Kluyveromyces lactis: one gene and its partners. Each later gene encodes a partner of the first gene's protein in a complex. Links are inferred from orthologs where the notes say so. Each region holds a gene or a part of one and is shown on either strand. Other genes may lie near its edges. A codon is read from its position in the direction of its gene.

The links.
Region 2: the proteins of COG5 (region 1) and COG7 are in contact, whole or in part, in a crystal structure (PDB 4U6U), measured with the Kluyveromyces lactis proteins. Residues at the interface, in XP_455247.1 of Kluyveromyces lactis: Ile107 (codon at 1,612), Pro110 (codon at 1,621), Phe111 (codon at 1,624), Arg113 (codon at 1,630), Ala114 (codon at 1,633), Lys116 (codon at 1,639), Leu117 (codon at 1,642), Gln118 (codon at 1,645), Val120 (codon at 1,651), Ser121 (codon at 1,654), Lys123 (codon at 1,660), Ile124 (codon at 1,663), Gln126 (codon at 1,669), Thr127 (codon at 1,672), Thr128 (codon at 1,675), Leu130 (codon at 1,681), Leu131 (codon at 1,684), Arg132 (codon at 1,687), Ser134 (codon at 1,693), Leu135 (codon at 1,696), Val138 (codon at 1,705), His139 (codon at 1,708), Ser142 (codon at 1,717), Asn181 (codon at 1,834), Thr184 (codon at 1,843), Leu185 (codon at 1,846), Gln186 (codon at 1,849), Leu187 (codon at 1,852), Ser190 (codon at 1,861), Cys191 (codon at 1,864); in XP_451390.1 of Kluyveromyces lactis: Phe16 (codon at 1,259), Phe17 (codon at 1,256), Asp18 (codon at 1,253), Asp19 (codon at 1,250), Phe21 (codon at 1,244), Pro23 (codon at 1,238), Gln24 (codon at 1,235), Phe26 (codon at 1,229), Val27 (codon at 1,226), Asp28 (codon at 1,223), Leu30 (codon at 1,217), Leu31 (codon at 1,214), Ser32 (codon at 1,211), Phe34 (codon at 1,205), Gln35 (codon at 1,202), Leu39 (codon at 1,190), Glu40 (codon at 1,187), Lys43 (codon at 1,178), Cys46 (codon at 1,169), Ser47 (codon at 1,166), Leu49 (codon at 1,160), Leu50 (codon at 1,157), Met53 (codon at 1,148), Asp54 (codon at 1,145), Tyr56 (codon at 1,139), Ser57 (codon at 1,136), Ile60 (codon at 1,127), Thr61 (codon at 1,124), Glu63 (codon at 1,118), Leu64 (codon at 1,115).
Region 3: COG5 (region 1) and COG2 share a complex: the UniProt entries of both Saccharomyces cerevisiae proteins name them as parts of the conserved oligomeric Golgi (COG or Sec34/Sec35) complex. The link is inferred for Kluyveromyces lactis from reciprocal best matches to the Saccharomyces cerevisiae genes COG5 and COG2.

What each region holds. Positions count from the first base shown.
Region 1 is NC_006042.1:348,128-351,116, forward strand, and holds COG5 (Golgi transport complex subunit COG5), read left to right. Parts: upstream 1-1,293; coding exon 1,294-2,466; downstream 2,467-2,989. Other genes in the region: HPM1 (protein-histidine N-methyltransferase), read left to right, coding at 10-1,116; KLLA0_F03707g (uncharacterized protein), read right to left, coding at 2,512-2,989. UniProt on the Saccharomyces cerevisiae protein: Acts as a component of the peripheral membrane COG complex that is involved in intra-Golgi protein trafficking.
Region 2 is NC_006037.1:777,177-779,837, reverse strand, and holds COG7 (Golgi transport complex subunit COG7), read right to left. Parts: upstream 1,305-2,661; coding exon 552-1,304; downstream 1-551. Other genes in the region: calcium-transporting ATPase PMC1, read left to right, coding at 1-312; RPN14 (Rpn14p), read right to left, coding at 1,607-2,661. UniProt on the Saccharomyces cerevisiae protein: Acts as a component of the peripheral membrane COG complex that is involved in intra-Golgi protein trafficking.
Region 3 is NC_006038.1:974,695-977,530, reverse strand, and holds COG2 (Golgi transport complex subunit COG2), read right to left. Parts: upstream 1,280-2,836; coding exon 566-1,279; downstream 1-565. Other genes in the region: FG-nucleoporin NUP57, read right to left, coding at 1-274; chromatin-binding protein CTF4, read left to right, coding at 1,873-2,836. UniProt on the Saccharomyces cerevisiae protein: Acts as a component of the peripheral membrane COG complex that is involved in intra-Golgi protein trafficking.

The DNA of each region.
Region 1 (2,989 bases):
CCGATAATAATGTCCTTTGCATTTGGCTTCTCTAACGAAGATTTCAGTGATGATGAACTAGATATTGCCAATCAAAATACAGATGATAAGCCATCTACTTCTGTCCCTCGAATCAATCCATTGGATTCCGAAGTGTTACTAGGAGAATCAGTGAATCAACCCAAATATATTGATCTGGATGATCTACTACGTTCACTCGCGAATGTCCGTCTATCTTTTGAAGAAGTGCAAACTCCAACAACAAACTCTGTTCTTTACAGACGTGAACTATTTGACGTTAAACATCAATTGATGTCAGAAGTGGATTCAGGCACAAATAATGTTGAATTGGAGATTTTGATGGGTGAAACCAATGAAGATTTGAGGAGAAATGTGTACGAAGGTGGTTTGAAATCATGGGAATGTTCAATAGATCTAGTAGACTCATTTGTTAAAAATCCAGCACAAATTTCCCAGTGTCAAAATATAATAGAGCTAGGATGTGGGACGTCGCTTCCATCGGAATTTCTTTTTATGGAATATCTAAGATCCAACATCAATACCGGGATTAATTTCACATTATGTGACTATAATGAAAGTGTGATTAGATTGGTATCCATTCCAAATTTGATCGTATCCTGGGCGAAAACTGTGATCAGTAATGAACAATGGATAGAGCTACAAGCTTCTGAAGATTCGAACATCCCAATCGCCTCTGATGAATTACTTCTGACAGAAAAATTACTTGAAGCTTTCAAGTCTGATTTAGAATTTAGAAATGTATCGTTTTCGTTCATTTCAGGTTCTTGGGGAAGGAAATTCATGGATGTTTTAATTGAACACAAGGCTACCCCGTTATCAAACACCTTAATATTAACCGCAGAAACTATATATCAGCCTGATACGCTCCCGGTTATATCAGAAACCTTAATTGAGCTAATCGTGGATAACAAAAAGAACTCATACCCGGTGAAATGCCTGCTTGCAGCAAAAGACATATATTTCGGCGTTGGGGGCAGCATAGTGGATTTTGAAAACTATATCGCCAAAAGGATAGCAACCGATAACCTTCCATTATGTTTAAATAAATTTAAGGTAAATGCTGGATTGAAAAGATCAATTGTACTAATAGAGTGAATCGCCACGTATGACTCTTTTTAAGGCTTGATCATCAATCACGTGATCAAAATCACTTTGTCGACATTGTCAGATTCATATAATATCGTGTAATTCAATCTTTAAATATAGCTTGCATTAAGCGAATGAGCATCAGCTGTACTATAAGGAGATAACTACTGTACTTAGAACCCCAGAATGGCTCAGAACGATCCACTTCAAGGCTTTGAGGATTTTCTCGAGGCTGATTTTCAGCCATTGCGCTTTGCAAACGATCTATTAAAAGTTACAAATAATGGCACAGATACGGATGTCTTGGACCTGAAGACGTGTGTGAAGAGATGCTCGTATGATCTCCAAGAATTAGACAGAAGAATTGAAGGTGCTATCAAGACCAACCCAAGCCATGTGCTAGAACAAATTGAGAAGAGAAAGAAGGAAAAAAGCTTTGTAGGAGATACTCTCAAATCAAACACGGAATATTTGTCTATGTCGTACAACAGATTACAACAAGACATCTTAGAGCCATTTGAAAGGGCACTTAAACTGCAGACAGTTTCTAGTAAAATTCATCAAACTACAACATTACTGAGAAGTTCCTTAATATATGTGCACATGATATCTCAGTTGCAAATGATGCCATTAGAGACAGACTCTACTGATGATGAGCAACTAGCATGCGGGTTAAAAATAGCTGCCTTACATTCACAATTGAAGATTAATATTGAACAAAATCCCAACCTGGCAACTTTGCAGCTGATAAAATCATGCGAGAACAATGTGGTTTCTCCAAATCGACAGGAATTATTGCGATATCTTTCCACCAATTTGACAAGGGATTGTCTAAACAATCTCAAGATGGAAAACAACCCTAAGAGAATTGTGACTTTAATCAAAGCATTGTATACTTTATCTCCAGTAGATCTTTTTGATACAATTGACAAAGTACTCAGTTCAAAAATTCAAACGACGGCTCAAGTGCTATCTAAGACCATCACATCCATTAGAAACTTCAACCTGTCATTAGATGATGCCATGGAAAATAGAAACTCGATACTCACTTTACAGAACTTAATGGAAGAATGTGAGATTGAAGGAAATACGAACACTCTTCGCAATTACCTATCTCAAAGGAAATTTTCCTCGTTGATCGATCAATTTTGGTCAAAAGTCACTAATAGTTTCAAAAGAGATTTCGAAATGTCCTACAATCGCGGTGGACCTGTCGGGAAATCTCTGCAAAGCAATTCCAATCTAATATATGAAGCCATTAGTAAATGCTTCGGTGAAAATGACCCTAGTAATGAACTACAAGGCGAACTGCAGTATATCTTGAAAGCCGTTAGTATATTAGATACAAACAGGAAATAAAAATCAGGCTTATATTTGTATATATAGAGTAACAAGACTGGTCCTTTATGGTTTAGCCTTCGCCTTACTTATAGCACCTGCATCTGCAAGGGGGTTCGTAGCCTTCTTTTTGTTTTTCTTTCCCCCACGCTTATGGAACTTCTTCTTTAGTAGCTTCTTTATCTCTGAATCTCTTTGCTTCCTCAGATCTTCTCTCTCTTTACCGTGTAATCTTGCCATTCTCTGCCTTTTACCTGGCCTTTTTCTCCGTAAATGCCTGATACGAACCTGCTCTGTGTGGACTTTACGATTATGCTCATCTACATCTATTACTTTTCCTCTGAACTGAAGCCATCCGGGATACGGTCCCAGCTCAGCATATTTTAATATTACATCTGCAGACACTGCGGCTGCAGAAAAGTTATGTCTGTCCTGCTCTGAATATTCTGCACAGTAATACGTTCTTGCTCTACCTATTGGAGCTGAGTCTGGACTCGGTTCACGAAGGCTGACCTTTATTAGGGCCGTTGCCTTTCTACCTCTG
Region 2 (2,661 bases), on another chromosome or scaffold:
CAGCATGATGAGGACGAGGAAGCATCACTTTTGGTTGAATATGCCAATGACTCTAGCTTAGTGGAATCTACGGCTTTTCAGCGGGCCAAATCTGATATGATCAGCCATAAGGTGCATCCACCTACTTCGGAGCCCTCTAAATACAATCCTATCACAGCAATCAACAGATGGAGAAGCTCAAGTGGTGATGAAAATGAATCAGAAGAAGAACATTCATTCATCGCCTCAGTGACTATGGTACCCACTTTAGTTGGTGGTGCTGTTGGTGGTTTTTCTCATATTACGGGACCTAATGAAAATAAGAAACAATAATTCTGCTGAGACCTGAATTATTGCGTAAAGATACGTTTCAAAGGGCTATAATATAATGGCATAACGCTGAATCAGTTTTCGGCTAAGTATTACATCTATTACATACTATATGTGTATCCTTTAAAGACATCGTATTTTCATTCTGAAGATGAGTATTGCTTTGCTTTTGATGTAATGAATTATTCAATCGTTCAACGATCACAATTATATAGAACAACTTTCGCGGTCACATATAAAAATCATAACTCATCTAGTGTATCCTTACTATTTAGATAATTATCCTTCTCCTTCTGAATAGCTTGTGCAAATTCTGTGTATGGGATATAGAACTTTTGAAGTCCCTTCAAAACAGTTTTCAACTCGATAAATGCGTCTATCTTCTTCAACAAATCGGTTGCATCGTTCTGAGGTTTCTTTAATGTAATGATAATGGTCTCCTGTAACGTCAATAATGCAAGTTTAAAGTCATCTAACGAAATATGCTGTAGTTTTTCTTGATCATCTTGGATTGAAATATCCATTATGGTCTTTAATAGATCAAATGATCTCTTAACAGTTACCAGATGCTCTTTAGCTGCTGTAAGCTTTGATAAGGTTTCAGTTACCTCATTACTGTCTTCATATTTAGAATTCAGCTCTTCTAATTGTTTATCAATAGCTTTAACGTCTGTCTCTAATAAGTTCACACTATTCGCTAGAGTATCCAAATAATACTCTAGTTTTGTTGTTCCTTGCTGTTCCTCATTTGCTGCGTATATAATAAGTTCAGCAGGCTTCTGAAGCACCTGAATAGTGGACTCAAGTTCTTTTGTAATATGCCCACTGTAATAGTCCATTTTTGAAAGTAGACTAGAGCAATTGGTCTTCAATTCTTCTAATTGGCTTGTCTGGAAAGATGATAACAATATGTCGACGAATGCTTGAGGTACAAAATCATCATCGAAAAACATGTCTAGCAAAGGGTCATTAGCACCAGATATCCTTCTACTCATCGTGTAGGAAATTATAGTGCTATATCGTCCTTCAAAGGTGATTTGGTGGCTTACTTGGGTGTTTCATGATCATCATATTTAGAGGTAGAAGGTTAACTTCTTCATTTTGATGTTAAGATTTCAAGATGATTTTTGGTGCCTTCAGATGCACAGTAAGAAAGGTTTAAAAGAGAAGGATACAATATCAAAGCAGATATTACTATACACATTGATGAGAGCAACGTATGGATAATTTATTGGACTATATATGGGTATAATTCTATTTACAATTCTATTGCTTCTCTTTTAGACTGGACGACAAATCAGTATTTCAATAGCATACCATTTTTTCCGACGCACCAAACATTTTGATGTGATTCATCAACACAGAAATCAGTCACTTCATCATAAGGACGAATTAGATGTGTAAGCTTATTGAAATTGAATTTCCCGTCCAAAACAGGTACATTGAAAGCAAATTGGACCCCACTAGAAACGTTCAACGTGTTATGTGCCAAGAATAATCTTGAGATAGAATCATTATCATTTACCTGGAGCGTCTCCACCGGTTTGGAAACGTTACGAGTATCCCATGATACTATCGTACCATCCGAATAGCCAGCAAATAGGTAATGGTCATCACCTGCAATGTGCTGGCTCGTTAGAGTGACACATGCAGATTTACTTGCCGGTAAAATATCCAATATCTTCTTTCTGTTATAGATATCATGAAACGTGATGATACCAGAGTCGTGTCCAGCAAATACAGCTTTCCCCTCAGTATTGTATTCGTTGCTATGGTCCAATGCATTGTACGATGTGGTCGCTGGATTTCCCTGGTAATTGGCCAATGAAATACAATTTATGCCATCGTTTGAATTGAGCGTAAAGACACATGCTGAAGTTGAGCATTCCCATAGTTTTAATGATCCATCCGAACTTGCAGAGACGAAGTTTCTACCTCTATCGACCATGGCAAAATCGTTGACTGACCGAGTATGACCTATGAAAGTTCTGAGCTCAGTACCGGTTGAAGCATCCCAAATCTTCAAGCGCATATCGATACTACTGCTTAAGAATCCATGGCCGTTAGGGAAAAATTGGGTCTTGGTGATGTGACTAGCGTGCGCTTCCGGTAACTTTATCACTTCTTGTAATGGACCGCTATAATTGGTACCGGTGTTCTTCCGTAGCACATATATGCCACCATTCGTATCACCACAAACCAAACGTATCTCGGGGTCAAACACGTTCGTGATATCTATACTTGTTAAATCAACAGCTCCAATATCAGAAGGCAGTTGGAACCGTTTTTTCGGACTTTGAAACGAAGCTAAATGTCCTGCTGTCGCATCAGGTCCTGTCAATTCATATAAAT
Region 3 (2,836 bases), on another chromosome or scaffold:
CGGCAGAGTTCGTGTTGCCAAACAAACCCCCAGTAGAAGGTTTCTGCTGTTGCTGTGTACTTCCGAACAGACCTCCTCCAGTGTTTGATGTATTACCTATCGAGTTGTTATTCTGTCCGAACAAGCTACCAGCACCACCAGGCTGCTGCTGTGGCTGTTGTTGTTGTTGTTGACCGCCAAACTGGAACCCTGTGTTTCCAGCAGCAGGTTTGTTACCAAATAAACCGCCGCCATTGTTCATTGAACTATTTCCCGAATTCACTGCACCAAACATGGCTAATTGATGACAGAAAATTGAACCTTATCGATATTCACAGTGTTCTGTTAGTACGCTGGCCCTGCTATATTGTCAGTTCGTTCTTATAGATTTAATGTTAGTTGTGATGTTTGTTGATGCTTTTGTTGTGAAGAACTGAAAAATTCAAGATCGTTCATTATGATGAGATGAGGCTCAAAGTCAGAGATGTTATACACATTTACGTAAGGATACTCATAGCGTAGACTCGCTTCCACCTAGGGGGTGGAATCTCACTTTATTTGAATTGGGTTCGCATTTATCATATATTTAAGTTTTTATGGTTTGAGTTTGCTGGTTCTGCTTCTCGAGAACGGGTTTAATTAAAGGCTTTGCGGTCTCGAGAATACTTTTAAAGTCGTTTCTCATTCGAGTAATTAGGGTGGAATCATTGTCTTCCAAATGTCTAAATCTGTAGTCACAACGTATTAGTATAGTAGAGAGCTGCTTTGCCACTGTGAAGGAAAGCTCGTCGTCGATATTCAGCTGCACCATAGACTGTAAGGATGATACAAGTTGCTGGCATATCTTTAGCGATTCTGATAGCTTTGTGATATCGTCCAGTTTACCAAATAGGTTATCAAGCGATTTTAGGTAGGATAATGCTGTTACTGTTTTTTCTCTAGTTTCAGCCACTGAGGAATCACAAAGTTGGAGTAATTGCTTGTTGAACTGTTGTAGATCATTCAAGACTTGTTTTAACTTATTCAACACCTCGTTATTGTCACTAGTATTAAACCTGTCACATATTTCCATGTACTCGGGATAATTGTCATTGATTTCATCCAGTATAGTTTGTTCCATTGATTGCTTCAAGGCAGATACTTCATATGAGAGTTCGTCTAACGATACGTATTGGAAGTTATTCTCAAGTAATAGCTTATCTATATCTAAGCAGCCATTCTTCCGTACAAAATTGGAAACTAACTCTCTGCTTAGTTCTTTAGTTACTGGTAGATCCAAATCATCATTTAGGTCGGTCATCGCTGGGTGAGAGTAGTTTCACACAGTACTTTCCCTCTCTTTTCGCTCTTGTTCCGTTTTTCTGGTAATGATCGTTCGAATATAAGGATCGATTCGTACCTTTAAATATCTTGAACGCTGAATAGAATTGATAGTTAGAAAAATACATGTATATAACAAGGGCAAAGACCGATACATGTGTTTGAATGGGTAGTTTTCGGAACACACTTACTAAACTGATGGTGCAATACAGATGAATAAGGGTGATATGATTACTGCGCATCACGTGACTAATTTTCCTTAAGATAAGTAAATCTATAATCAAGAATGTTTAGATACTTTTGGTCCAATACCTCATCCTTACCTTGTGGCAATTGCATGCACTGCACTGTCACTACTATAACAGTGTCAACTAATACTTGATGGTGCTAGTTCTGTGTTTCATTTCTGTCTTCTTAGCTAACGTGTATTTTTAACAGAAAAAACGCGTCTTGGTGATTTAACAAGTAGAAGATGAGACACAACTTGCTTGAAATCTATAAGATGCACTGAAAAAAGCTCAGTTCTCAGTATATTAGTGAATAGTTTCCTTCAGACATACCCAGAAACATCCAATGGCAATTAAACTAACTGAAAATAGGGTATTTGTTGCTGGTGGGAACACCCAGGCACGGTTGAGTAGTGACAGTTCTCGACTTTTCACTTTAAATAAGAACGCATTGGTGAAAGTTCTTAATTTAACTGATCTTGAGAAGGAACCTGATATCATTGATATTTGTGAAGAACCAAGCGCATTTGTTTTGAGTCAAAATTCAGCTGATGGTTTATATGTTGTTTCCCGCAATGGCGACCTATACTGGTACAATGTACTGGAAAACAAGAACAAGTTATGCTTTAGATCCTCGTTACCATTGCGTGATTTGGCCTTAGTTCATGATGATAAAGTATGTGTTGTAGGTGGGGATGATTTAGAAATGACATTGGTTGCATTAGAAGAGGGAAATTCAAACGTTAAATTAACTTTGGACGAACAACTGGTTAGTTTATCATACAACAAACAAAATAACATTCTAGCAGTATCACTCAGTAACGGTAACGTTGTATTCTACTCTTTAAGTTCTACTACACCCAATAGAATCCACACATTGCATGATCAGCTACCTAAGATATTCTTCAATGATGATCTACCAGCGGACACTGAGAATAATACTGAAAACGCCGATTCAGTCGCTATAGATGGACTTGATCCTATGCTATGCGAAGATAACAGAACATGCACTAGAGTTGCATGGACCAATAAAGGAGACCAATATGCAATTCCAGCAAAAGATAGTGTCATTAAGTTATTTAAATTATCAGATCATGATTTGGTGACCTCGTTCAAGCCAAGTGTGCACGTTAACAACTGGGACGCACTTACAATAGACCAAATTCATTCAAACACAATCGCTGCAGTCGGTAATTCCAACCAAAATTCTCATCTATTTATTTGGAATTTAAGTACTGGTACACAGCTTGTTCACGAAAGCTTTAGGTATAGTATCACTTCTTTGTCTTGGAGAGTAAACGATCAGAGAA